7 linked regions of the Ovis aries genome follow. The protein of the gene in region 7 purifies or fractionates together with the protein of the main gene of each other region. This does not show direct contact. Links are inferred from orthologs where the notes say so. Each region holds a gene or a part of one and is shown on either strand. Other genes may lie near its edges.

Evidence for each region.
Region 1: the proteins of ANAPC1 (region 7) and CDC27 purify together in Homo sapiens (affinity purification with mass spectrometry; 16 studies listed by BioGRID and IntAct, with this or other methods). This does not show direct contact. The link is inferred for Ovis aries from reciprocal best matches to the Homo sapiens genes ANAPC1 and CDC27.
Region 2: the proteins of ANAPC1 (region 7) and LATS2 purify together in Homo sapiens (affinity purification with mass spectrometry; 3 studies listed by BioGRID and IntAct, with this or other methods). This does not show direct contact. The link is inferred for Ovis aries from reciprocal best matches to the Homo sapiens genes ANAPC1 and LATS2.
Region 3: the proteins of ANAPC1 (region 7) and ANAPC7 fractionate together in Homo sapiens (co-fractionation; 6 studies listed by BioGRID and IntAct, with this or other methods). This does not show direct contact. The link is inferred for Ovis aries from reciprocal best matches to the Homo sapiens genes ANAPC1 and ANAPC7.
Region 4: the proteins of ANAPC1 (region 7) and ANAPC2 fractionate together in Homo sapiens (co-fractionation; 8 studies listed by BioGRID and IntAct, with this or other methods). This does not show direct contact. The link is inferred for Ovis aries from reciprocal best matches to the Homo sapiens genes ANAPC1 and ANAPC2.
Region 5: the proteins of ANAPC1 (region 7) and ANAPC4 purify together in Homo sapiens (co-purification; 13 studies listed by BioGRID and IntAct, with this or other methods). This does not show direct contact. The link is inferred for Ovis aries from reciprocal best matches to the Homo sapiens genes ANAPC1 and ANAPC4.
Region 6: the proteins of ANAPC1 (region 7) and ANAPC16 purify together in Homo sapiens (co-immunoprecipitation; 5 studies listed by BioGRID and IntAct, with this or other methods). This does not show direct contact. The link is inferred for Ovis aries from reciprocal best matches to the Homo sapiens genes ANAPC1 and ANAPC16.

The regions. Positions count from the first base shown.
Region 1 is NC_056064.1:45,943,236-45,946,735, reverse strand, and holds part of CDC27 (cell division cycle protein 27 homolog), read left to right. Parts: intron 1-747; coding exon 748-865; intron 866-995; coding exon of another isoform or gene 996-1,025; exon of another isoform or gene 1,026-1,057; intron 1,058-2,703; coding exon 2,704-2,832; intron 2,833-3,500. UniProt on the Homo sapiens protein: Component of the anaphase promoting complex/cyclosome (APC/C), a cell cycle-regulated E3 ubiquitin ligase that controls progression through mitosis and the G1 phase of the cell cycle.
Region 2 is NC_056063.1:35,927,234-35,931,425, forward strand, and holds the end of LATS2 (serine/threonine-protein kinase LATS2), read left to right. Parts: intron 1-1,521; coding exon 1,522-2,019; 3' UTR 2,020-3,692; downstream 3,693-4,192. UniProt on the Homo sapiens protein: Negative regulator of YAP1 in the Hippo signaling pathway that plays a pivotal role in organ size control and tumor suppression by restricting proliferation and promoting apoptosis.
Region 3 is NC_056070.1:54,330,491-54,333,990, reverse strand, and holds part of ANAPC7 (anaphase-promoting complex subunit 7), read left to right. Parts: intron 1-1,349; coding exon 1,350-1,469; intron 1,470-2,939; coding exon of another isoform or gene 2,940-2,979; intron 2,980-3,043; exon of another isoform or gene 3,044-3,202; intron 3,203-3,500. UniProt on the Homo sapiens protein: Component of the anaphase promoting complex/cyclosome (APC/C), a cell cycle-regulated E3 ubiquitin ligase that controls progression through mitosis and the G1 phase of the cell cycle.
Region 4 is NC_056056.1:755,545-759,044, reverse strand, and holds the end of ANAPC2 (anaphase-promoting complex subunit 2), read right to left. Parts: intron 1,348-3,500; coding exon 1,218-1,347; intron 1,022-1,217; coding exon 786-1,021; intron 595-785; coding exon 382-594; 3' UTR 324-381; downstream 1-323. UniProt on the Homo sapiens protein: Together with the RING-H2 protein ANAPC11, constitutes the catalytic component of the anaphase promoting complex/cyclosome (APC/C), a cell cycle-regulated E3 ubiquitin ligase that controls progression through mitosis and the G1 phase of the cell cycle.
Region 5 is NC_056059.1:45,520,223-45,523,722, forward strand, and holds part of ANAPC4 (anaphase-promoting complex subunit 4), read left to right. Parts: intron 1-932; coding exon 933-979; intron 980-3,039; coding exon 3,040-3,096; intron 3,097-3,422; coding exon 3,423-3,479; intron 3,480-3,500. UniProt on the Homo sapiens protein: Component of the anaphase promoting complex/cyclosome (APC/C), a cell cycle-regulated E3 ubiquitin ligase that controls progression through mitosis and the G1 phase of the cell cycle.
Region 6 is NC_056078.1:27,529,570-27,533,069, reverse strand, and holds part of ANAPC16 (anaphase-promoting complex subunit 16), read right to left. Parts: intron 1,600-3,500; coding exon 1,525-1,599; intron 613-1,524; coding exon 497-612; 3' UTR 1-496. UniProt on the Homo sapiens protein: Component of the anaphase promoting complex/cyclosome (APC/C), a cell cycle-regulated E3 ubiquitin ligase that controls progression through mitosis and the G1 phase of the cell cycle.
Region 7 is NC_056056.1:106,003,642-106,007,141, forward strand, and holds part of ANAPC1 (anaphase-promoting complex subunit 1), read right to left. Parts: intron 1,722-3,500; coding exon 1,576-1,721; intron 949-1,575; coding exon 728-948; intron 26-727; coding exon 1-25. UniProt on the Homo sapiens protein: Component of the anaphase promoting complex/cyclosome (APC/C), a cell cycle-regulated E3 ubiquitin ligase that controls progression through mitosis and the G1 phase of the cell cycle.

The sequences.
Region 1 (3,500 bases), on a different chromosome or scaffold from region 7:
TGATTCTTTACCCACCCTTCAGTTCAGCTCAGTTCAGTTCAGTCGCTGTCATGTCCGACTCTTTGCGACCCCGTGAATTGCAGCACACCAGGCCTCCCTGTCCGTCACCAACTCCCGGAGTTTACTCAAACTCATGTCCATCAAGTCGGTGATGCCATCCAGCCATCTCATCATCTGTCGTCCCCTTCTCCCCTGCCCCAATCCCTCCCAGCATCAGAGTCTTTTCCAATGAGTCAACTCTTCGCATGAGGTGGCCAGAGTATTCGAGTTTCAGCTTTAGCATCAGTCCTTGAACACCCAGGACTGATCCTCTTTAGAATGGACTGGTTTTATTTTAAAATGTGATTGATAATAGTGCCTATCTCCTTGGTTCCATCTAGGATTAAATAAGGTAAATCAAACAAAGAATTTAATAAAATTATTGGCAGACACATGATAATCGCTCAGTAAAAATTAGCTATTAAATCTAGATTGTAGTGGTAGGTCTAAGGATGTGGTTTCTTTTTTTCTAGTTGTTATAGTTTTATTTGATTGGCTGTTTGATTGACTGGATTGTTTTTACTTATAAAAGTGACTTGTCTAAAACACTTGGGCAGTTTTATATCATGTTAGATTTTGCCTACCCTAAGACTAGCAGTATTTTTCTACTGGTTTATTAAAATGCCACATTCCATACATATCCTTTTATTAGCTAAACTAAATTAGCATTTCATATCCTTAAAATTGTATTTTATTTTAAACTCTCAGGTATGGTTTAGGAATGATTTATTACAAGCAAGAAAAATTCAGCCTTGCAGAAATGCATTTCCAGAAAGCACTTGACATCAACCCTCAAAGTTCAGTTTTGCTTTGCCACATTGGAGTAGTAAGTAGCTTTCTAAGTATTGTTCAGTTAATCCCTTTTAGAATGTTTGTTATTGGCTTAGTTGCTGTAATAAAAATTAGGGGGTTTTGTTATTGTTATTCTTGAAACAATATCCTGGATTCTTTTACAGCCAAAAATATCGCCTTTTTGCTTGGCATAAAGAGAAATCACTGGAGTACCCTCATTCCTTGGGCAAGTTACTTAATTTCTCTGAGCTTCTATTTTGTGAATGACAAATGATACCATCTTGCCTACCTCATAGGGTTATTATAACACTAATATGAGATACTTGATATTTTTGAAGGCAGTTTTCCGTGTTAGTATTTAACTCCTAAATTAAATAATTAATAATTTAAGTGATTTTAAATGATTCCCTGTATTTTAGCCTCTGAGTGGTATAGATATGTCAGAACTAATTAAAATTCTTATAAAGTGGTGAGAATGGTTAATTTTATATTTTTCTTACTGTATGTGATAATAAGTTGTACTTTGATAGGATAAGAGAACAGGTACGTTTGTTTTTTAAAATCTTACTTACTAATTTCTCTGAAAGCTTGGAACATTTTTTTGAGTTCTTGTTCTTGTCCTTTCACCATTCTTCCTTCTCCCTCTTTCCGTCCCTCTTTTCTTTCTCTTTGCAAGTTTGACCTTTGTGGGAACAAGCATACAGTATAAGGAAAATTATATAAGTGTGGAATTTCACTATTCATTTTGGGGGCAGAATTCTAGCTCTTTATAATGATTTTCTTAAGAATTGACATGGTAACTTTTACAGTTAGATACTGTACAAAAAATATAGGGAAAATACGTCAAAGATTTTTTTTTTCCGTCACTTTACTTAAACCAAACTTGAGTATCTCTTGCTGCCTTTTAGTGAAGTTGAACATTTTTAAAGCAGGCTTTCTTAAAGGCCATAGTCCAGCATTTTGTAATCTGTGGGTTCTAAGACCTGGAAAGGTTACTTCTCTGCTATAGTTTCCCTGTTTTTTTTTTTTTTTTGGAGTATAGTTGATTTACAGTGTTGTGTTAGTTTCAGAGTTTCAGCAAGGTGATTCAGTTATATATACATATATATTCATTTTCAAATTTCTTTCCCATTATAGGTTATTATGAGATATTGAATATAGTTCCTTGTGCTGTATAGTAGGTCCTTGTTGTTCATGTAGTTTGTATATAGTTGTCTGTGTCTATTAATCCTAAATTCCTAATTTATCCCTCCTTCAACCCCCTTTCCCCTTTTGTAACTATCAGTTTGTTTTCTATGTCTCTGAGCCTGTTCAAATTTAGTTTTAATATATAATTCATCTAAGAATGAACATAGCAATATGAGTACACATGAATAAATAATAAGACTTGGTTGGGTTTGCTTTTGTTTTTGTTTTTTTAAGTTATTTCAAATAAATTACCTACCACCCAGAATTACAGATCAATGCTTTTCAGATATGTAAAGCAGAAGAATTATTTTTAAAACAAATTCCTAAAATAGGTAAAAGTGTAATTGTTCTGAGTAAAACAAGGTTGGTAAGTTTCAGAGCCAGAGCTTTTAGGGGTTCTTGAAAACTTTTGAGAAGTCTAATATTTAGAGGACCATAATAAGTCTGTTAAAATGTATTATCTAACAAAATAGTACAGATTTTCTTGTGAAGAAAGACTAAGGTTTTCCTTGTCTTTTAGGCTTAAAGGTAACCAAATATCTACTCTAAAGATAGAATCTGATTATCATTATGGAGAGTAATGGTGAATTGGGAGCTGTGTTGTTTTTGAGTCACACTATTTGGTTTTTACTTTTCCTCATAAGTATCAAAAGAAAACATTAATAGGATCTTTATTTCTTATAGGTTCAGCATGCACTGAAGAAATCTGAGAAGGCTTTGGATACCCTAAACAAAGCCATTGTTATTGATCCTAAGAACCCTCTATGCAAATTTCACAGAGCCTCAGTTTTATTTGCAAATGAAAAATATAAGGTAAGATACATATATATGTGCGTATCTTAAGAGTCTTCAACATAGTACTATTTAAGCTTTGCCACTTTTTAAATAAACTAAAAGTTATTTATACTTGAATTTTTGTCTTAAGTAGTTTATTTCCCCATTTTTAAAAGCTATTTCTTTTTTGCCTATATTTCTTCATGAAATACAGGAAGGATGGATGTGTGTATATAGTTAGGAATAGAAGTTTATCCTTTAACAAGATTTCCTATAGGGAAAGGCAGTTACCTTAAATGTAAAACCTAAACCATTGTATTAGGACCAAAATATATGAACAGAATAAATGAATATATGTGCATTATTCAACAAGTATTTATTTGAATACCTATTATTAATATATGTCAGACACTAGGAATATAGTGGCAATTGAAGCAACCATATTTCCTGCCTTTGAATAGCTTACCATCTAGTACTTCCCTGCTGCTGCTAAGTTACTTCAGTTGTGTCTGACTCTGTGTGACCCCATAGATGGCAGCCCACCAGGCTCCCCCATCCCTGGGATTCTCCAGGCAAGAACACTGGATTGGGTTGCCATTTCCTTCTCCAATGCAATGTCCTTTAAATCTAATAAACATTTAACAATTTTTAACTCGCTCTTTGAAGTTTACTATAATTGTAATTCAGGATTTGTTTTCCTGTTTTTG
Region 2 (4,192 bases), on a different chromosome or scaffold from region 7:
CTGTGTCTCCTGCATTGCAGTCAGATTCTTTATTGATAGGCCACTGGGGAAGCCCACACCAGCCCTTGCACCTCCGCACAACTCCCAGTTACATTGACCTTACTTTGTTCTCACTCCAGGAGCAAATAAGCCCTTAGCAGAGCATCCGGATGGCTGGTTTATGTTGTTGATCACTGTTGTCTGGGGGTGGCTCCCTTACCCTGTGCCTCAGACTGTGGGCTCCTGCTGAAACCACACTGGCCATTTGTAGCTGCCTCAGATCCTCCTACGTCTGTTTGGTTCTCCTATTGTGAAACTATCAAAATCTTTTTTAAATTAAAGTTATTTTTATTGAAGTATAATTGATTTACAGTATTAGTTTCAAGTATAGAGCAAAGTGATGCAGATGATATTAACAGATTCTTTTCCATTATAGGTTATTGTATGATATTGAATATAATTCTCTATGCTATCCAGTCAGCCATTGTTATCTGTTTTATGTATGGTATTGTGTATCTGTTAATCTCATAGTCCTCTAATTTGTTCCTCCTTCCCTCCCTCTCCCCTTTGCTAACCATAACTTTGTTTTCTATATGTGTGTGTCTATTTCTGTTTTGTAAATAAGTTCATTTTGTATTTTAGATGCCACTATAAGCTATATATATGGTATTTGTCTTCCTAGTTCTCTTACTATGACAGTCTCTTAAGTTCATCTATGTTGCTGCAAATGGCATTATTTTGTTCTATTTTATTGCTGAGTAGGATTCCATTGTTTATATAGACTACATTTTTTATCAGTTCATCTGTTGATGGACATTTAGTTTGCTTCTTGGCTGTTTTTTAAATAGTGCTGCTATAAACACAGGGGTGCGTGTATCTTTTAAAATTAGAGTTTTGTCTGTATTTATGCCCAGGAGTGAGATTGCTTGGTCATATGCTAACTCTAATTTTAGTTTTTTAAGGAACCTCTGTACTGTTCTCCCGGAGAAGGCAATGGCACCCCACTCCAGTACTCTTGCCGGGAAAATCCCATGGATGGAGGAGCCTGGTAGGCTGCAGTCCATGGGGTCGCCAAGAGTTGGACACAACTGAGCGACTTCACTTTCACTTTTCACTTTCATGGACTGGAGAAGGGAATGGCAACCCACTCCAGTGTTCTTGCCTGGAGAATTCCAGGGATGGCGGAGCCTGGTGGGCTGCCATCTGTGGGGTCACACAGAGTTGGACACGACTGAAGCAACTTAGCAGCAGCAGCAGCAGCATACTGTTCTCCAGAGTGGTGCACCAGTTTACATTTCCACCAACAATGTAGGGAGTTCCCTTTTCTCCATACACCCTCTTCAGCCTTTATTATTTGTTGGCTTTTTGATGATGGTCATTCTGACTTGTGTGAGATGATACCTCACTGTGGTTTTGATTTGCATTCCCCTAATGATTAGTGATGTTGAGAAACAATCGTGTTCTTTAACACCCTGTCCCTTAAAGGCTCTCTTTGGCCTCAAGAGTGAGGAGGAAGGAACACTGGGTGTGTTGTCCCTGCAGGTGATTAACTGGGAGAGCACGCTGCACATCCCTGCACAGGTGGAGCTGAGCCCTGAGGCCCGGGACCTCATCGCCAAGCTGTGCTGTGCAGCTGAGCACCGGTTAGGCCGCAACGGGGCCGATGATCTGAAGGCCCACCCATTCCTGGGTGCCATCGACTTCTCCAGCGACATCCGGAGGCAGCCGGCCCCCTATGTGCCTACTATCAGCCACCCCATGGACACATCCAACTTTGACCCAGTGGATGAGGAGGGCCCCTGGCAGGACGGCAGTGAGGACAGCTCCAAAGCCTGGGACGCGCTGGGCCCTGCGGGCAGCCGGCACCCGGAGCATGCCTTTTACGAGTTCACCTTCCGGAGGTTCTTCGATGACAATGGCCACCCGTTCCGGTGCCCCAAGCCTGCAGTGGCTGAAGCCGTGACCGAGGCTGAGCAGCCGGCTTCAGTGGGTCCGGCCCTGGGGGCGCAGGCCGGGGGCTGCCAGCCCGTGTACGTGTAGACTGGTGGACGGGGAGGTCAGCCCGTCAGGTCAGTTGGCCGGTTGCCCCTCGAAGTCTAGCCTGCACCCAAAACCAAAGCGGAAAAACTTCTGAAAGAGGACTCACCTCTGAGGTCTGCATCTCCAGGTTCTGGTGGATGGCAGGAGGTGTCAGCGCAGCCTGGAATTAGCTTTGAGGACCTTCACGACATTAAAACAATATTTTTTAAATCAATACAGTAGAAAGAGCACTTATTTTGTTTATAGCCATTTTTCTTATTAAATTATAGGGATTAATTTTGACAAATCATGCTGCTGTTATTTTCTACATTTGTATTTTATCCACAGCACTTACTCACATTAGGGAAAGACATAAAGATTGAAGAACATGTGATAAGAAATCTCTGTGCAATAATGTTAAAAAAAAAAAAACACTGTCCTGATGTTACTGATACCATTTTATTCACACAACAGTTTTTGTTTTATATTTTTCCCACATTTCAAAATTGTGATATATGTTAAGAGCTGCTTTTGTTGTTTTGTTCTGTTCGCTTTTTGCATATTATAGCATCATAGAAAGTGTGAGCAGTTGATCATGCGGGTGTGACTTCAGACATCAGGTATGGAGAAAGCATGAACAGGGTTTTTCTATTATTAATATAACGTGACCGTGTCTTGCCATTCACAGCAGGTTCTGTGAATACGTTTTTACTGAGTGTCTTTGGATGAGTCGTTCTGGACAGTGCTGATGCCACGTCGTGAGTGACTTCCTCGCTGTGACTGCACCCCCCTCCTCTCTCATTGCAGAAATGCACGTGTTTCTGAGAGATGATGTGACTGTATGTGTTGTGGGTGTGCTTGGATTCTTTGAGGGGGCAAAGACATTTGTCCTACACTAAACTTGTGTACATCAAAAGGGATTCACTTAGCTCTGCCTAAAAAAGTAAGTTAGCCATGGATCTCTGTCTGTCTTGCCAGTCAGGATGCTGTCCTGTGGCCTAGCCGACACAGGGAGCCAGAGCCCCACCCTGCAGACCTGTGCAGAGTTCTCTCTGCAGTGCTTTTAGTGTGCTTTGAAGGATCCAACTAAACTCAGTTTTAAAAGCACATTTTTCTAATCTTTGTGAAACAGCAAGGACTATTCAGTGTGATGTTGGAGGGGAAAAAAAAGATAATTAAGCCATACATATTTTCTTAGGAGTATAGATGTATATATAACTATATAGATAAACACACAAAATATTCCTATTTCAAATTAGTATGATTCCTATTTAAAGTGATTTATATTTGAATAAAAAGTTAAATTTCTTTTTTGCTTTTTAAAAACCTGGTGCATCATATTTTTTGTTATATTCACATATTTTTCCTTGAAGTTTTTAGCATAACGTATCCATTACTTAGTGTATCTCTAGGCAGCAACACTCACGTGTCTGTGGATGTCTAAACTGAAGAAGAAGATTCCTGTGTACTGGTTTACATGTGTATGAGTGGCAGGTTCTGAGTCTGCTGTGCTGTGTCGTGACTGTCAGTGTTTCTCTAGTTTTGCAGTAACGCCGTGTTGTTATTTACACTCTTACAGCCTTCATGTGGTAGGTTCTTTCTCAGGAACTCAATTTAACTATTATTTATTGATATATCATTGCCTTTGAAAAGCTTCTACTGGCACAATTTATTATTAAAAGTTTGAATCCAAATCCCTAGGTGTCAAATTTTATTGAAATTTGTAAGTTCTTGGTTGTCTCGTGTGCTTTCCCCATGATTCAAACACAGCGGGGGCTGCCATTGCAAGGGAGAAGAGCTCTTGTCTTGGTTTGGTCTGGGATTTGGAGATTGGGTTTCAGGTCACAGCACAGGGTCCAAGTCCGGGTGCGGTTCTGCGATCAGCTTTCTTTTCTTCCTGAAGGTGGTGACGGGTGTTTGGCGTTAGATTGCTGAGTGGGGTCAGTGGGCTGTCAGATAGATCTTGAGTGGGAGCCGAATTGCCCTGCTTAAGACTAGTCACACTGACAGTACAAGGATAACACCCTACCTTTGCTTCAGAATGGTCAATGGTATTAAGAGCTCCAGAAGCTGTCAACATTTGATTCTGAATTGTTCTTTTGAAAGGTGCAGTCATGTGGTCACCACTGGGCAGTCCCCACTCCACCAGGCCATCTCAGACCCTGTCCTTGTGGAGACAGGGTTCCACTTATGT
Region 3 (3,500 bases), on a different chromosome or scaffold from region 7:
AAGAAACTACAAGCAAAAGTGTTTATCAGTAGGATCTAGTTATAGTGTAGCCCTAGGATGGGATATTGAGGAAGTGAAATATAGCATTGTATGCGCTGATTTGGAAAGGCCTGTATATATTAGTAAATAAGCTTTTAAGCAGTGTGTTTACTCTTTCTGTTTAAAGGTGATAGTTATTTTTTTGGCCACACTTTGCTACTTGTGGGATCTTGGTTCCCCAACCAGGGGTTGAACCTGAACCCACCCTGGCCCTCTTGGCCGTGAAAGTGCGGAGTCCTAACCACTGGACTGCCAGAGAATTCCCTGAAGGGGATAGTTTATAGACATACATCCTGCTATATGCCTAAAATATATATGGGTAATATACATGGAAAATTTAGCATATGTGTGTGAAGAAAATTAACAAAACTTTATAGAGGGGGGGAACCTTGACTTTCAGTTTGAACCTGTCTTTAAATTGTACATACAATTTACATTTAAAAGGAATATCAGAATGAACTGAAGTGAAATTATAAATCATGTTCTGTATTTTTCCACTAAAAAAAAAGACAGAGTAATATAATTGCTTTTTTTTTTAGTGCCTGTACATTTTTTTCTTGTTTTATTTCTCTTTATGTAGAGCCTTTGTTCTTTGTTACTAAAGAGCTGATTGCCAGGAGTTGTTTTCTGACCCTGAAGTCATGTGTATTATCCACACAGAATAATTCATAGAAGTAACTTTTGGGGGGCATTCAGTATGCTAAGCCCTATGCTTATTTAATCTTGAAGGAGTTTTTTAAAAATTGAGATACAGTTTACAACATAATTTTCACAGTTCAGGGGTTTTAGTATTTTCACAGAATTGTGCAACCACCACCACTAATTCCAGAAGGTTTACATCCCTCTAGAAAAGCCTTGTTATCTCTCTAGTCCCTGGAAATCACTGACCTTTCTGCCTCTGTGGGTTCACCTATTCTGGACCTTTTATATATGGAATCATGCAGTGTGTGGCCTTTTGTGGCTGGCTGCTTTTACTTAGTATGTTTTCAAGGTTGATCCATATTATGGCACATAATAAAGAAGCAGTTGTGTATTCCTTTTTGTTGCAGAATAATATTCCATCGTGTGGATGTGCCATATTTTAACTGTTCATTAGTTGGTGGGCATTTGTGTTGTTTCTGCTTTTTATCATTAATGATGCTGTGAACATTTGTGTGCAGGTTTTTGTGTGGACATAGGTTTTCAGTTTTCTTGGCTTGTGTACACAGAAGCAGAATTACTGGGTCATATGGTAATCATGTTTAACATTTTGAAGAACTGCCATACTTCTGAAGTAATATTTTGAAGAGATGTTTTCATTTCCTCTTAAGTGTCTTCCATCTGAAATTGAAGTAAAATACAAAATGGCTGAATGTTATACAATGCTAAAACAAGATAAAGATGCCATTGCTATACTTGATGGGATCCCTTCAAGACAAAGAACTCCCAAAGTAAGTTGAATTAACAATTTGGTTACATACTTTTCTCTTCCCCTGTCCTTCCAGCTGTCTTCCTCTGTGTTTTCAGGGACTACATCTGAACATTTTACAAACCTTGTCTCTTATTCCCACTTTGTTCCCCTGTTCTCCTTATTTAGAGAGAGGAGTGGCTTTCTTATAAGACCCTGAAAATGCTGCCGAGGAAAATGGTAGCTGGAGAGTACAACGTGTGTTTAATTATTTTGTTTTTCTTATTGTAGGAAACATGATTTGAATATATTTCCAGGTAGCAACAGTACTTTTTAAGAATCTCATTTTTTGCATTCCGTAGGTATGCCCATTTGATAATGTGTATTCCTTTTATTTTCAGAATTAAAACTTCAAGATTCTTTGTACGTGTTTGTGTGTAGGATATTATTTGTGTTTTATTTGGCAACAATAGTATATAGCACACCTCCAACTGAGATCAGAAGATCTAGTCTCTTGCCTTTGCGTTTAGGGCATACAGGCAGTGTGTGGTGAGCTTGGGCAAGTTAAAAATCTGGCTTTACTTTTTTCCTTGTTGAGGATGATAATACTTTCTCTGGTATAAACTAAGTTCATGTATGTGAGAATACTTTTTAAAGTATTATTCTATAAGGAGTATTAGGCATCTGAATACAGGTTTTCTTGAAGTCCAGTTTAGAAGAACAATGAAAATCTTAGCTCTTTGGAGTGAAGTCACATCATTATTTAATATTCTAACACATACTTTCATGTCACCTACCTTCCTCTCTTCATTGAAAAACTGTGCAGTGTAGTTAACGATAGGAACTTTTGCACATCTTCCCTGCCATTAAAAGAAAAGGAATTATAAGCAGTAGGGACCAGGTGTATTTAGTGTTTTTTCACCCAAGTGTTACTGAGTTTTAAAAGTAATCACACTTGATGAGAACATGTTTAAGCATCTTCTCATGTTGAAGATTTATTTAATATTTTCTGAATTTTAAAAATTAAGCTATTTCTTCATATTTTATGGTGATAATTGTTATTTAAAACATTTGTAAGTATATTATAGACTAACCTATCTCACAATAAGCTGGACACTGTATACTTAATTATATTCTGGTACGCTATGAAAGTCTTACCCTAAGAGTAATTTTTTTGTATATATGAAGGGTGTCTTCGTTTGGAAAATGCTGCTTTGATTGTAAGCTTTGAAGGATACCTATTCCTTATCTTATTGGAAACATTCCATAATTTCTTCTTAATGACTTGAGGGAGTTTGGGGGCATTTTTAAAAATGAGTAATGGCCAAGCACGTGAGCCTTGTGGTATCCAACACTTTGGTGTTTACAGCTGTCATTTTAGGAAGAGCTAGAGGAGTCCACATACATTAGGAGTACATATCCTTCATAGAGCTGTTGTAGCCAGGAGCAAACAAAGATGTGTGCCTCCAACATAAACCTATAATATTTACAGTTTTTCTTTCTTGTCCGTTAGGGAGTTAACTGGCTTCTCAGTCTGTGTAAAGGACAAGGAAGTGAGTCAAAATACGTCTAAATGAACGTCTGTTAATGTATGGTAAACACCGCCACACATTCTTCACATTTTAAAGGAAAATTCCAGTGTGAGATTATCATGTCGTGGAAAATCTTCAGCTTTTAAGAGAAACATACCAAGAAACAATTTGTCACTCAGTTTTTAGAAAATGATGACTGCTTATATTTATAACTGGTGGAATGCAACTTAAATGATGTCCCCAAGTAAGGATCTATTTTTAAAAGGAATTGACTTTCTAACTAGGTGTAGTTCTCAAAATTCAAAGTGTCAGGTAGTTTAAAGGGAATTTTTAATATTTGTTGAGATAGAAGGCCCGTCAGTCATAGTTCATTAATAACAAGCAGTCAAGAAAGGATTTTAAATTTAATTCTTTTATTTTTTTCAAGTATTGACACCACTACTGGAGTTTTCCTTTAAGTACCTTTTTTTTTTTTTTTTTTTTTGCATTTCAACATAGCCTAAAATGAAAAATCTGAGGCCAAATAAAAAATAGTTTAATTT
Region 4 (3,500 bases), about 110 Mb from region 7:
GCAGAGTAGAGGGAGGGGAACCAGAGTTCTCCCAAGGGCCAGAGGGGTGAGGCCAAGGCTGGGGGCCCTTGGGTGGAGATCCAAGAGGTCTGTTTCCCAGGTGGCTGGCCCCTCGTTAGCTGGAGCCACGAGCCTGACGTGGGTTTTCGCTAGCCACGGTGACTGGACGCTCACGTGCCGGGACTCCTGCCGGCCTGGAGCCCACACAGGGGTGCAGCCCCACCTGCTGGGGGGCCCCACGGTGCCTGGATGCGGGGAGGCCAGTGTGCAGAACTGGCGCACACGCCCACCCTGGGGCCACAGAGCCGACACGACACGGAGAATGAAGAACCATCTCTTTACTCGCATTCTGGCGGGGGGCGGGCAAGGCCCGGTGGCGGCTCAGCCACAACTCTTGGGCAGGCGGTAGACGCCGGCGGAGTAGACGAGCTGCTGGTCGCGCACCTTCCTCTGCAGGAAGCCCTGGAGCTCCTGCAGGTCGATCTCGGCCAGCGCGGGGCCGGAGACCACGAACATGCGCAGCATGCTGAAGATGCGCTCCAGCGACAGGCTCTCCAGGTTGGTCAGCATAGCCTGGATGTACGTCCAGAAGAGCTGCGGGAACCGCCGCGGTCAGGTCGGCCGCCCCGCCCCCCGGCGCCCGCCCCGCCCCCCGGCGCCCGCCCCGCCCCCCGGCGCCCGCCCCGCCCCCCGGCGCCCGCCCCGCCCCCCGGCGCCCGCCCCGCCCCCCGGCGCCCGCCCCGCCCCCCGGCGCCCGCCCCGCCCCCGCGGCGGGCAGGGCGCACCAGCAGCTCCTCCTCCTTCTGGTCGGCTTGCGAGGCCAGGCCCGAGTCGCTCTCGTCGTCGCTGTCGACCAGCACCATGTTGTCCCGGTCCTGCGGCCGCTCTTCCTCCACTACCGAGAAGGTGCCGGCCGGCTCCTCGCGCAGCACGCCCTGCTGCAGCCACACGGACAGGCGGCGCCGCAGCAGCGCGGCCGGCATCTTCACCGCCTCGCTCAGCTCCTCCAGGCCCCAGCTGGCTGCGGGCAGGCGGCGGGGCGTGGGCGGGCGAGCTCCGCCGTGCCCCTCACGGGCCCAGCTCAGCGGGACGGGCAGGACCTGGGGGAGGGGCCGGGGGCGGGGAGCCGCCCGGGCCCGCCCGCCCTCCTCGGGAGACAGGCCGTGTTCTCCTGGGGGTGTGGCCGAAGCGGGGTGGGGCGCAGCTGGGGAGCTCACCTTGGTCCTGGAAATACAGCAAGACCACAGCCTGCACCGGGGTCACCGCCACGGACAGGGTGCGGTCAGCCAGCTCCACGTCCATTGTCACCAAGCCCAGGGTGTGCTTCCAGCTGAGCGTCCGCATGGCCTGGGGAAGACAGGGTCAGCGCGGGCCGTTCGGCGGGTCCCGCTGAACCAGGCTTTACAGCCTGGGAGCAGGCGGGAAACGGCTCCCATCCCGACCCGGCGGGTAACAGCTGCAGTGGCAGCCACACCAGCGCCCGGTGGGCTCCCAGCTCCCGCCCTCAGCAAGCAGAACCCAGCAGCAAGGCCACGTGTCCCTCCGAGACACGCCCACTTCTTGATCCCAGGATCTCAGACCGTGACCTGACCTGTGGATATCGGTAGGGAAGACAAGGTCTGGGAGCGACGCGGACCCTAGCCTAGTAGACCAGTGTACCTGTCAGAGGGTGGGTGGTACGCAGACACGGGCCCGCAGCCCCGCCCAGCCCTCCACCACAGACCCGGCCTGCAGGGCCAGGAGCAGGTTGTACCACTCTGCCACCTGGCGAGCAGGCTTTGTCACGGCCACCGCAGAGCGGCGGTGGACTTCAGTGCGGGTGGAGCATGATGCTGGAGCAAGCACCTTTCCCAGAAACGTGCCTATGGCTGCGGCGCTGGGGGAGGGGAGGACTTGGAACCTTCTGAGCTGCGTGCTCGTGAAAGCTGGGGTTGCCCTGGGGAGACGACCGGGGGAAACCTGACCCCAAGGCCCCTTCCGGTGAGGCCTGTCGCAGCGCTGCTGGACACGACTGCAAGGCGACCGCTGAAGGAGCGGCAGAGATGAGCTCCACTGGGGCGAGCAGGGCTGGAGGGAGGTGCGGGGCGCTGGGCTGAGATTTCACGTGAAGCGTAGGAGGAGCAGCCTGCAGCTTCCTCACTGCTCGTGTGAAACGAGGGGGAAACCGAGGACGGGTGAGCCCAAAGGAACGCACCACTCCACGCACTCTGTGGCAGAGCCCGCGGGGCCTGAGAGGTGAGCTGTGTCAAAGCCACATCAGCCAGCCAGTCCCGGGACCGGCATGGGGGGCCCAGGAGAGGCGTGGGCGCCCTGGTCCGGGCACTGGACGCTGAGACCTGCGTGGATGCCCACACAGGCTTAGGCCTCAGCAGCAGGGCAGGGGTGCTGGCCTGGGTCCCTAAAGGCAGCTTGTCAAGGTGCGGTCACGCGGAGCGGGGCCTGGGGTCCTCGGAGGAAGAGGGGACTCTGCACACAGACCCTGGGAGAGGCCGGGTAACACGAGCCAGGGCCAGAGTGGGGCACCACAGCCAGGAGCCACCGTGAGGCCGACGCCCCTCCCGGAGCCTGTGGGGGGGCACGCCCTGCCGACACCCCTCCCAGAGCCTGTGGGGGGGCACGCCCTGCCGACACCCCTCCCGGAGCCTGTGGGGGGGCACGCCCTGCCGACACCCCTCCCGGAGCCTGTGGGGGGCACACCCTGCCGACACCCTGACCTGAGTTTCTGTTGGCATCACAGATGCTCGACAGCTGCTGCAACTGAGAAAATGGCTGTCATGTTCAAGGCACTTGTCTGTCATCTTTGTTACGGCCGCCACCGGGGACACCGGTAGGGTGTCTCTGGGCCAAGCGCTGCTCCCGAGTAATGCAGCCCCCACGGCTCTGAAGGGGGCGTGACGCTGAAGCTCTCCACGGTCGGCAGCTGGCCAGGTCCTAACCAGGCGCTGCGGCTCGGAACCGTGACCTTTTCAACCCCAACTTGGGTCTGCAGCAGAGGCCATGGCCACCCCAGTGTGTGCGGCGCTGGCCTCGGGCAGGAGACCCACTGCAGGGAGCAGAAGCCCCCCAGGTGCCCCAGCACCCAGCTGGAGGACGCACCAACCTGAGAAGGGGGCCGTGTCTGAGTCCACCTTCAGACCCAGGGGGACGCCCCAGAGGAAGCTGGCAGGGCCTCTCCTGATAGGCGCGCTGGGGCATAGAGGGAGGCTGGGGAGGGCCCCTCAGATGTCTTTAGCCAGGAAGGGGTGTGTGGGGCTGAGTCGGGGAGCACAGGCGGGCTCCAGGACCCCGCCCCCCGCCGCCCTCCCCTGGCTCTGGAAGGAAGACCCTAGGATCAGGTCTCCGGCGCTGAGCCTCTCCCCACTCAGGACCTCACGTCCTCAGCCTTAACCCAGCCCGCCCCAGCACCGGCTCACAGCAAACCCAGAGGAGCCGCCGAACACCCCAAGAGAAGCCAGGAGACCCCCTGGAGACGCCCATGGAGGGGACACAGCGGGTGTCCT
Region 5 (3,500 bases), on a different chromosome or scaffold from region 7:
TGGAGACCTAACTGTAACTGGATGCTGCCACCAGTTAGCGCTCTAACCCTGCTTTGCTCTTTTGTAAACTGCAGTCTCCATGAAGGCAGGGATTTATTTATACTGCTTTGTTCCCAGTACCTGTATTATGCTCAGTAAGTAATTTTTGAATGGATAAATGAATGAATGGAACTAGATTATGGCTGGGTTGTTTTTTTTTTCAGATAAATTAGAAGTCTGAATTAATTAAGAACAGTTTCCTAAAATAACCCTATTTGCAGAATCATGCCTAACATGCTTTTTCCTGACCAAACACAAGAAGCATATTCAAACGCTATGCAAAACACATGCAATATATTTCTTCACTGAGGTGGATGTAATATGTATATAAAATACAGTATTGATGAAGACACCCCATGAAAGGACAAAAAGGGTCCACCACAAATATTAAAGAAGGTATATAAATACATATATACACATATATAAGTGTGTGTATACACACATAAATCTTAGTGCAAGCATCTTCATGTGGCAGAAAAGCCCAAGGGGAAGAACACATCTGTTTGGCATTCTAAGGCTTTTGGAGGAAAGAAAGAATTGCCTGCACATTTTAAGAGAAGAAACATGACTAAGTTAGGAGGGATTCCTGCACACACAGTCTTTGCTAAAGGCAGCAGTTCGGTTTGTTTGTCTGGAGTGGCAATGGGTTGTATTAAAGGAGAAAAGGAAAAATGGTTTAAGATGGCTATACCAACCATTTTGAGCCTAAGAATATAAATCAAATTCTTCACTCTGTAGTTCTTAGAAGAAAAATAAGTTTTCCTTGGTGACAAGAAGCTGTTAAAACTAGAAAATGTAGTCCAGTGAAATACATTTAGACGTGAAATGCATCTATAATTCAAATTATGTTTGGAGTTTCCCTTTAAAGATAGTTTTAAACTTTATATTTTCAGCAATGTTGAGAATGACAGAAGACCATGTACTTCCCGAACTGAACAAGGTAGTATATAATAGTATTTTTCCTATATGTGTTAGTGTTGCCCTGGTTGAGCTCATCTGTGCTGGTCATCTTAGTAGTAAGATGCAGTTATTGTTAAGAGATGTTAGGCTGTAGGCACAAGAGAGATCCTAGTAAGCCCTTTTTAAAATTTGCATGTTTGATATTTTTTATCTCACAGAATGCTAGACTATGGCTAAGCTTATCATTTTCATGTTTGTATAAGATCTCAGAGTCTGTATAACATAGGGTATTTGGATTCCTTTTTTTAACTTCCTAAAATCTTAAATGCATTTTTATTTTCCTTGGAAGTCTTGTATGTAGATATTAGTACCTATGTTCATGTCTGGTGAGTACCAGTTTCTTTTTGACTGTAATAAGGATTATGACAAGTAGCAATGAAATCTCCTTCTCAGAATATCTTACAGAATAGGGCAGAATTCCCTTTTGGTTCCTGCAGCTCACTCATCCTCACCCCTCCCCAAACTGTGATTCAGGTAGATTAGGTGGTTTTAAGCCTGAAAAAATGGGGAGTATTAAAATTAGTCTTAGTGGACCAGATAAGTAAGGGATCACAGCTTTTATAGGAAGTAGATCTTCTGTGCTGTATGACTGGCCTTGCAAACCAGGGATGTTTGCATTAGCTATTTCTCTGCCATCACTCTTACCTTTACTTTGGGAGATTCAGTATGTTCGTTGTTGGCAGAGACCTCAATATGTAATTTTTTGAGGGCTGAAGAACTTGGATAGGGAGAAGGTGGGGGTCATTAAAAGAAGCAGAGGCCAACACTGAAGCAAGAGGTGTTCTCAGGTTGCAGCCCTTAACCTAGATTGAGGTTATCTGAACAGACGTCCTCCACTCCCAAAGGAGAGACTCCACACTCATTCTTCAGTTCATTTGCTCAGTCATGTCCAACTCTTTGTGACCCCGTGAACCACAGCATGCCAGGCCTCCCTGTCCATCACCACCTGCTGGAGTCCAGCCAAACCCATGTCCATTGAGTTGGTGATGTCATCCAACCATCTCATCCTCTGTCGTCCCCTTCTCCTCCTGCCTTCAATCTTTCCCAGCTTCAGGGTCTTTTCCAGTGAGTCAGCTCTTTGTATCAGGTGGCCAAAGTATTGGAGTTTCAGCTTCAACATTAGTCCTTCCAATGAATATTCAGGACTGATCTCCTTTAAGATGGACTGGTTGGATCTCCTTGCAGTCCAGGGGACTCTCAAGAGTCTTCTCCAACACCATAGTTCAGAATCATCATTTCTTCGGCGCTCAGCTTTCTTTATAGTCCAACTCTCACATCCATACATGACTACTGGAAAAACCATAGCCTTGACTAGACAGACCTTTGTTAGCAAGTAATGTCTCTGCTTTTTAATATGATCTCTAGGTTGGTCATAATTTGCCTTCCAAGGAGTAAGCATCTTTTAATTTCATGGCTGCAGTCACTATCTGCAGTGATTTTGGAGCCCCCCAAAGTAAAGTCAGCCACTGTTTCCATTGTTTCCCCATCTGTTTCCCATGAAGTGATGGGACCAGATGCGATGATCTTTGTTTTCTGAATTTTGAGCATTAAGCCAACTTTTTCACTCTCCTCTTTCACTTTCATAAAGAGGCTCTTTAGTTCCTCTTCACTTTCTGCCATAAGGGTGGTGTAATCTGCATATCTGAGGTTATTGATATTTCTCCCGGCAGTCTTGACTCCAGCTTGTGCTTCCTCCAGCCCAGCATTTCTCGTGATGTACTCTGCATAGAAGTTAAATAAGCAGGGTGACAATATACTGCCTTGACGTACTCCTTTTCCTATTTGGAACCAGTCTGTTGTTCCATGTTCAGTTCTAACTGTTTCTTCCTGACCTGCACACAGGTTTCTCAGTCTTAGCTTTAGGCATAAAATAATAAATAGCCTTAGACCGTAAAGAGATCTGTAGCTGTTGGAGTTGCTGATTGGAAAATGGGTTTAAAATAATTACATGCTTGTCACATTTATTGTTACATAATTTTTTATTAAGAAGCTTTTCTTTATCTTGATTTGTTTTATTTTTGTTCCTTTTGGATTTGATAGATGACTCAGAAAGATATCACATTTGTTGCTGAATTTCTTACTGAACATTTCAATGAGGTAGGAAATTGGCATTTCTATAGTGCTTTTTCAACAATAATTACAGTAAATCTGGATAATGGTAAGTAATCAAATTTAATCCAGTTTAAGCAACCTTCTAGCAATTATGTATGCTTTTTCAACTATTGAACTAATGAATGACAGTACTTATTTATTAAATGTAAAGCATATAAATTGAACTTTGTGTTTGTGTCTTACCATCCACAAAAGAAAAGAGTAACTGCTACTAACAGCTTTCTTGAGAAGTAGAGTTTTTGGTTAAAATGTAAGATTTTTTTTTCTTTAATGAGTTGATTTAAGAATTAAACTTTATTTATTCTTTCTAGGCTCCAGATCTTTATAATCGAAAAGGAAAATACTTTAACGTTGAAAAAGTTGGTCAGGTATGGGCTCTGGATTGAATC
Region 6 (3,500 bases), on a different chromosome or scaffold from region 7:
ATAGAAAAAATCCCAAACATTAAAAAATTCCTAATTTGGACAAGTCCTGAGTCGAAATCACATTCATCTGCAAAAGGAAGGGTTTTAGGTCAGAAATGTATTTTATAACTCCAGATCCTGACCTTGGACTTGACTGGTGAGGATTCTAGGAACTGTGTGAATGACAGGAGGGATGTCTTTCGTCTGGCCAATTCTGGCATGTGTCCTGGATTGTGAAGTTTTATAAATCTCTTTTAAACCCAAACTTCCTGGTTCTCTGATGTCGATTGTCTAAATCCGATTCTCAATACTTTTTTAAATAAGCAAAAAATTTCCCTGCAAGATCACACACTTAAGAATTTGTTGCTTGTGTACAGATACAGAGAAACCAAGTATGAATGTGAATTAATAATTCAGTGATGGAGCCGTGAATCTCTGGATGGCTATATACATTGTAAGAAAAGTTCCTTGCTAGACCTGCACTTGCTGTGCACCTGAGATGACCATCCAGGCCAGGTTAACCTGAAGAGGGTGTGAACCCCAGCAGCTGCTCAATGGGTTTAAATCGCCACTCATCTGCCTCCAGCTCTTCTACCAAACCAGCTAGTTTTTCCATCCGAGCAACTTGCTGATCTGTAAAGAATCAAGGAGATAGTATTTATTAATTATACACCAAGCAGCAAGATGATGACTGATTTAAAAATAATTTCTAGAAAGATTTTCCCCCCTCAATATTCTAGTAATGGGGTCTTACCCTATGTTGTCAGAAGACTTAATCTTTTAATTTACATTTTATTTTTAATTGTAGGATAATTACTTAAGACAATCTTAAAAAAATAGTAGTACTTATCCTCCATGCCATTTGTGTACTAAATTTATGATTGGTATCCTAAGAATCTAGGGTTACAAGTAGTTAAGGTTCTGTGTTTCCACTGCAGGGGGAACTGGTTCTATCCCTTGTTGGGGAACTAAGATCCTGTATGCTACAAAAAGCTAACAAACCCGAAAAGCCAAAAACCTAGGGTTACAAGCAGTTGCAGCTCCCCCTACCCCCGCCCACCCCAACATTATGTTCTCAGGGGAGAAATAGTCTGGTTTGGTGGTCGAACAGAGTTCCCTGATGCATAAATGAAGACGGGTGAGGCATGATAGAATAGAAAAGGTGCTACCAGGATCTTCGAATCCAGATAGACCAAGAGGTATTACATACATATCTGAAAATGCAGACAGTGGTAACAATGGAGGACAACAGGAAAAGAAGGTTTCAGGAAGGAGTGGAAAAAGCAATACAAGAGGAGTAGGAAGCATTAACTCCCCTGGAAAACTAACCCCTTTGACTTCAAATTTAAGTCTTAATGTAACATTATCTGTGGATTAAGAACTGTAGAATGTTCTTATCTGCAGGCAATTTGGGAAGTCCACTTAAGCAGCCTTGCTGAGTTTTTGTTACAGAGCACTCTGACCTTTCTAAGTCCCCCTCTCCCACCCTTCCAGTTCCTAGTAAGTTCATTTTCACAGTTAAGTACACAGTACTCACATGCTTACCATGTTTCACCTGTTTGAGCGTAGATGCCACTTGATAGCTGAAAACAGATTCACAGAGGAATCTCTCAGAGCCATCTAGAAACAGAAGAGGACAAGTTTTAATCTGCTCCAATCCATTTTAATCTAATGGCTTCTGATAAATGTAGTAAACACACCCATTCTCCCTGCTTTTACATTCAGGGTCTAGTTTTCAGTGTTTACAAAGGGCTTCTGTTTCACTTAGAATTAACACTGCTGTGTTATAAAAGCTACTTCTATACCTAAAATGTTAAAATAGTCCCTCTACTTGTTCAAGAGTTTAAAAATAGTGTTAAAATAACAAAAACAAGAAACCCCAGTCTGATGCCCTGGTCAACACTTCTCCCATCCTAACTTGACAATTTCTTAATGTTCTCCTATTTTGTATGTCAAGCAAACACTGACAACTAACACATTTGGTCATGTGGCCCCAAACTTTCAAAATACAAAGGTACACCAAAACTCTTAATTGTTTTCATTCTAAAAAGTAAAGTTGAAGAAAAATAGCTATTGTCAATATTTTGTATATCAAGTTATATCACAATGACCATCACAAAACACTGCTGGGAAATTTCATTCTGTAAACGCAAACTATAACCTTGATTTTCCAACTTAACTAGAACACTGCAATTTGGATGGTTATAAAAGTATGGTGCAATTTCAGAACCTAGCATTGTACTGATGCCAAGAACTGGATACATGAAGGTAGCTAATTCAGTCACCCCAGTACTTGGAAGATGATTGTGAAACATAAGCTAGTTCATGTTATTCCTTATCAGGCAAGGGCTGATACAACAAAACATACCCCTAAATACGCAGAACTCATGTAGGAAAATGTGACTTCAAGGAGTAGCAGAAACCATTCAGGGAAGGGATCTTATTGCAGAAATTCTAAAACAAATGAAGGGAGAGGACACAGCTGTCTTTTTTTAGGCGGTGGTTCATGCCAACACTGCTGGATGTCAAGCACTCACCCATCAATCACGGGTTGCTGCCGTCAGCCAGCTATTAAGTGACAAGCAGACAGGACTAACATATTCTGGCTTCATGGTGAGTTTCCATGAAGGTCTGGTGTCAAATGTTCACACAGCAAGGCAGACCTTATTTCAGAAGCTCATGATAAATAAGAAAAACCATAGATACTATATTCAAATAGCTTAAATATACGACCAAGAGGGCTTCTACTATTATCTTCAAAATTGTTTCAAAAATATTATTCCATACATAATATATATGAAATTATTATGTATTAATATATACACATATTATATATTATGTCAAAATATAATTTCATATAGTTATGTAGACTTTATTATTCTTTAAATTCAACTTCTTTTCTAAATATTGTGTCATATGGGGATAGATCCCATTCCCTCCTCCCACCCCTATTCCTCTGGCAGAATGTAACTCATTTAAATCATCTAAACTGAGCAAAAATTTAATTTTCAACTATTGAATATTATACTGGCTGTCCAGTCTAAAGATCTAGGTAAGCCAATGATATTACTGAGTTTTTCAAATAAGGGAAATGGCCTGAAAATAACTATGAAATAACTATGAAAATAACTATGGGAAGAGGGGCTGTGTGAACATTTGACACCAGTGATGCAATTTATTATGCCTAATAAATTGTGTAAGTATGCCAGCATTCATACCCTTGATTAAAGAATCAAATTATAACTTAAGTTTTATTTTAGGAAGAGCAAAGCATACAGAATTAGAGCTCTTCTCAGGTGGTTTGATCCTGAACTTGAGGATATCACACCAAGGCAGTGGGGATTCTGGCTGTAAGGACCAGGCCAAGATTTGTTTGCAAGCTCTTCAAAGTGCTACCTCCCGCTTACATTTAATCACAGGTGTTATTAGGATAAATGCTTAAATTATAACATTTGCATATTTCCCTTGATAATGAACTTCAAAGCAAAAGGATACGTAAGCTCATCTTTGAGAAAGGCACC
Region 7 (3,500 bases):
TCCTAAGGCAGGGGAATGCGCACGACTGCAAAACAAACAGAGAGAAGAGGGCACCATGAGTAACAATGCAGGCTGACACGGCGCACTCTCCAACAGAGCTTTCCAACCCTATGTACTCTTGCAAGCATTCAGGCAGAAACCCAGTCAGAAATACAATTAAAAAACAAAAAAAGGAACAGCTACTTACACGGCTTGTTAACACGCTTTATTATAGTCTAAAGATTTAGAACTCCTGCTGGAGTAACTCTTTTTTTAACTGAAAATCAGTTCATCTTCTGCCTCAGAAAAGGAATCGCTTAGATTATTCAAAAGAGTCTAAACTATGTTCTTAGGTACTCAGACATACACATATGAACAAAACCCAGATTATATAGATACTAATAAAAACCAAAGCTACAGCAAACTAAGCCAAAAGAAAATAGTACCAAAATATCTCTAGAATTAACATTCACCAAACTGCTGCCAAGGAGTGGTAACAATGCGGCACTCTTAACAACAAGAATTGGCAGCTTCTAAATATGACTCACTGGCAAGGCAACACAGTAGGCCTGGAATCTTGGTAAAAGTAGCTTAATGGGCATACTGCTTTTTTTTCTAAAAGGTACTCAGGAGCTGTCAAGAGAAATTTTAAATGCTCCCAATCACAACAGAAAGTTTAAAAAGAAGGTATCTTTTTCTTGAGACTTCTTGTTTAAAACAAGGAAACACGGCCACACTGAAGTCCCACCTGAGAGCTGCCATGTTGGAAATGGAAGGTGAACGGGAGTGCAGGCTGGGCGAGGAGGCGGAGCGGCTCTGGCTGTGGATGGAGGAGTAGTTCTGGAAGGGGGACGCCACGGGGGAGTCGCCCTTGGAGAGGCTTCTGAGGTGTGCTGTGAGCGAGCTGCTAGTAGCCACGTTCTGGGGGGTGGCCCCCTGTTCAGAGAACTTTAAAACAGCATTGCCTTCCTTAAGTCAAAATGAAGGGGGACGGGGAGATAATAATTAGATTAGGAGGGCATTTTCCTTGCAGGGTAGTTGCCAGTTATTAAAGAGAAAACATCTTTTTTCCTAAGATTCTCAATTTATTTCACAATTGAGTCTTCTAAAAACATACAAATATCACACGTTAACACACATATATGGAGTATAGAAAGGTGGTGTGCTGCTGGTGAGTCTATTTACAGGGCGGCAGTGGAGACGCAGGCATGGGACAGCCTGCGGACACAGCGGGGGAAGCGGGGCGGGGGGCGGGTGGAGAGAGGAGCATGGAACATACACGCTGCCACACGTAAAACAGAGCCCGTGGGGGCCTGCTGTGCGACTCAGGGAGCTCACACTGGGGCTCTGTGACAACCTAGGGGGCGGGCTGGGGTGGGAGGAGGGAGGCAGGTTCAAGGGGGAGGGGACATATGTATGCCTACGGCTGGTTCATACTGAGGTATGGCAGAAACCGAGAGAATGCTATAAAGCAATTATCCTCCAATCAAAAATAAATTTTTAAAATAATTTTTAATGAGTGGTAAAAAAAAAATATGCAGGTTTTCAGCATTAACTATCTTTTTCTGTTAAGAAATGACTTGCCTTCACCCTTACCTCTGGTTTGACTCTCCGGAGAGCCCACACAGAATGCAGACCTTGAACAGTGTCATAGGTCATGACAATGGAGGGATCGGTGTGGAGAAAGACAATTTTCATCGCATGGTCTACAACATACTGTACCCGTGATGAACCAAAAAGACCTTAAAGATAAAACAGAAATAATCAAGTATAGGACAATGGGCTTCACAAGACTGTTTATGAAGTGACTTCTTGCAATTCCTAAAGACATAGAGAAATGAAGGTTAATTAAGGCATAAAATCCATTAATCTATTAATATGACATAATTAACTCTCCATTTTTAATACATCTACTTTGGGCATCAATTTCTTCAAACATATTAAAGGTGAGAATGTTATGAGCTTTTATATCACACACATGTACTTAAATGTTAATGAAGTTAAGCCATTAAACTCATCAACCACAGGTAAAAGGTCCATGATTCCTTCAATGACTGACTTATTCATAAATTTTAATCAACTATTCTGCCAAATCTGACTTCCTTAGTGGTTCTTTTCTTTTGTATGAAATCTGTCCTCTATGGTAACCATTCAAACAGTGCTGAACAATACACTACTGTTTCTGTTTTACTGGAAAGACAGGCAAAAATAAGTTTTTTCCTAGTGAGTTCAGCTTTTACATCTATAGTACCGCAAACAAGTTCCTATTTCCTTATTTGACAGTTTCTGAAATGTTTTCCTCTCAATTAAAATATTTTAAAAATTTAAAAGAATTGGGTTATAAAATTAAGAAGTACATTATAAAGAAAGAAAAATCACTCATAATTCCACTCAAAATAACTATTACTAAAATATTTAGGCACATTCCTCCTAGTTTTGTTTTCCTATACAAACATATTTTTTGTTCTTACAAAATTAGAATCATATTGCATTTAGTTCTGTACCTTACTTAACATGAATAAGCAATTCCTGAGATTATCAAATATTATTCAAAAACATGAGCAATAATGGCTGCATACCATTCAACCATTTGCTCTGACATGTGTGCTTAGGTTGTTTGTAGTTGTTAGCAGTATAATATAGAATAACCAACAAACTTTTTCTGTGTAAGACCAAAGAGTAAATAGTTTAGGCTTTGCAGACCACAAACTGACTCGGTAGCGTAATTTAGTTCGTTTTTTCCTACAACCTTTTTAAAAGGCTGAAACCACTCTTAGCTCATAACGCTTAGGAAAATAAGCTAGATCTATCTGTAGTTTGCCAAGCCCTGATAGAGAAGATAAACATCTCAGTGGTATTTCAGAATATATACTTGGGACTATGTCCTTAAAACTGGTTAAAGAACGTAATTTTTTTTTTTTAGCCTTCAAGTATCATTACTCATAATAATCTATGTTTGGTCACATTTAAAATTTTAAACTAAGCATCTAGAAATACGTCTAGAAAATATTAAAAAATTGAGCCCCAGAAAATTATATTATGAGCAGGGTAAGTGAAATATTAAAATTTACACCATAAAGGTCTAAGGCCCTCCATTTCTTTTTTCCAGAGAAAAGAAACAATTTTAGTTTATCTAAGTACTGTTCATTTATTATTAATTACTGAGAAACAGAGTACAGAGTCATCTACAGGTAAGTTAGAAAATCTATCACTATTCCTGGCTTTTTTTTTTTAAATACTTATTTGATTGTACTAAGTCTTAGCTGCTGCATGTGGGATCTAGTTCCCTGACCAGGGATTGAACTCAGGGCTTCTGCGTTGGGAGTGCGGAGTTTTAGCCACTGGACCACCAGGGACGTCCCCTGGCTCTATTTTTACTGAAAGAAGAGTTGTTTAAAGTCAATACCAGGATATTCAATGAAGTAATTAATATGAATTATTTTCATAATTTTTTTTAATGCTTAAATTATTTTACCTTTATAAAACAAATCAAATTTTCATAACCTCCTTTATGTCCTCCC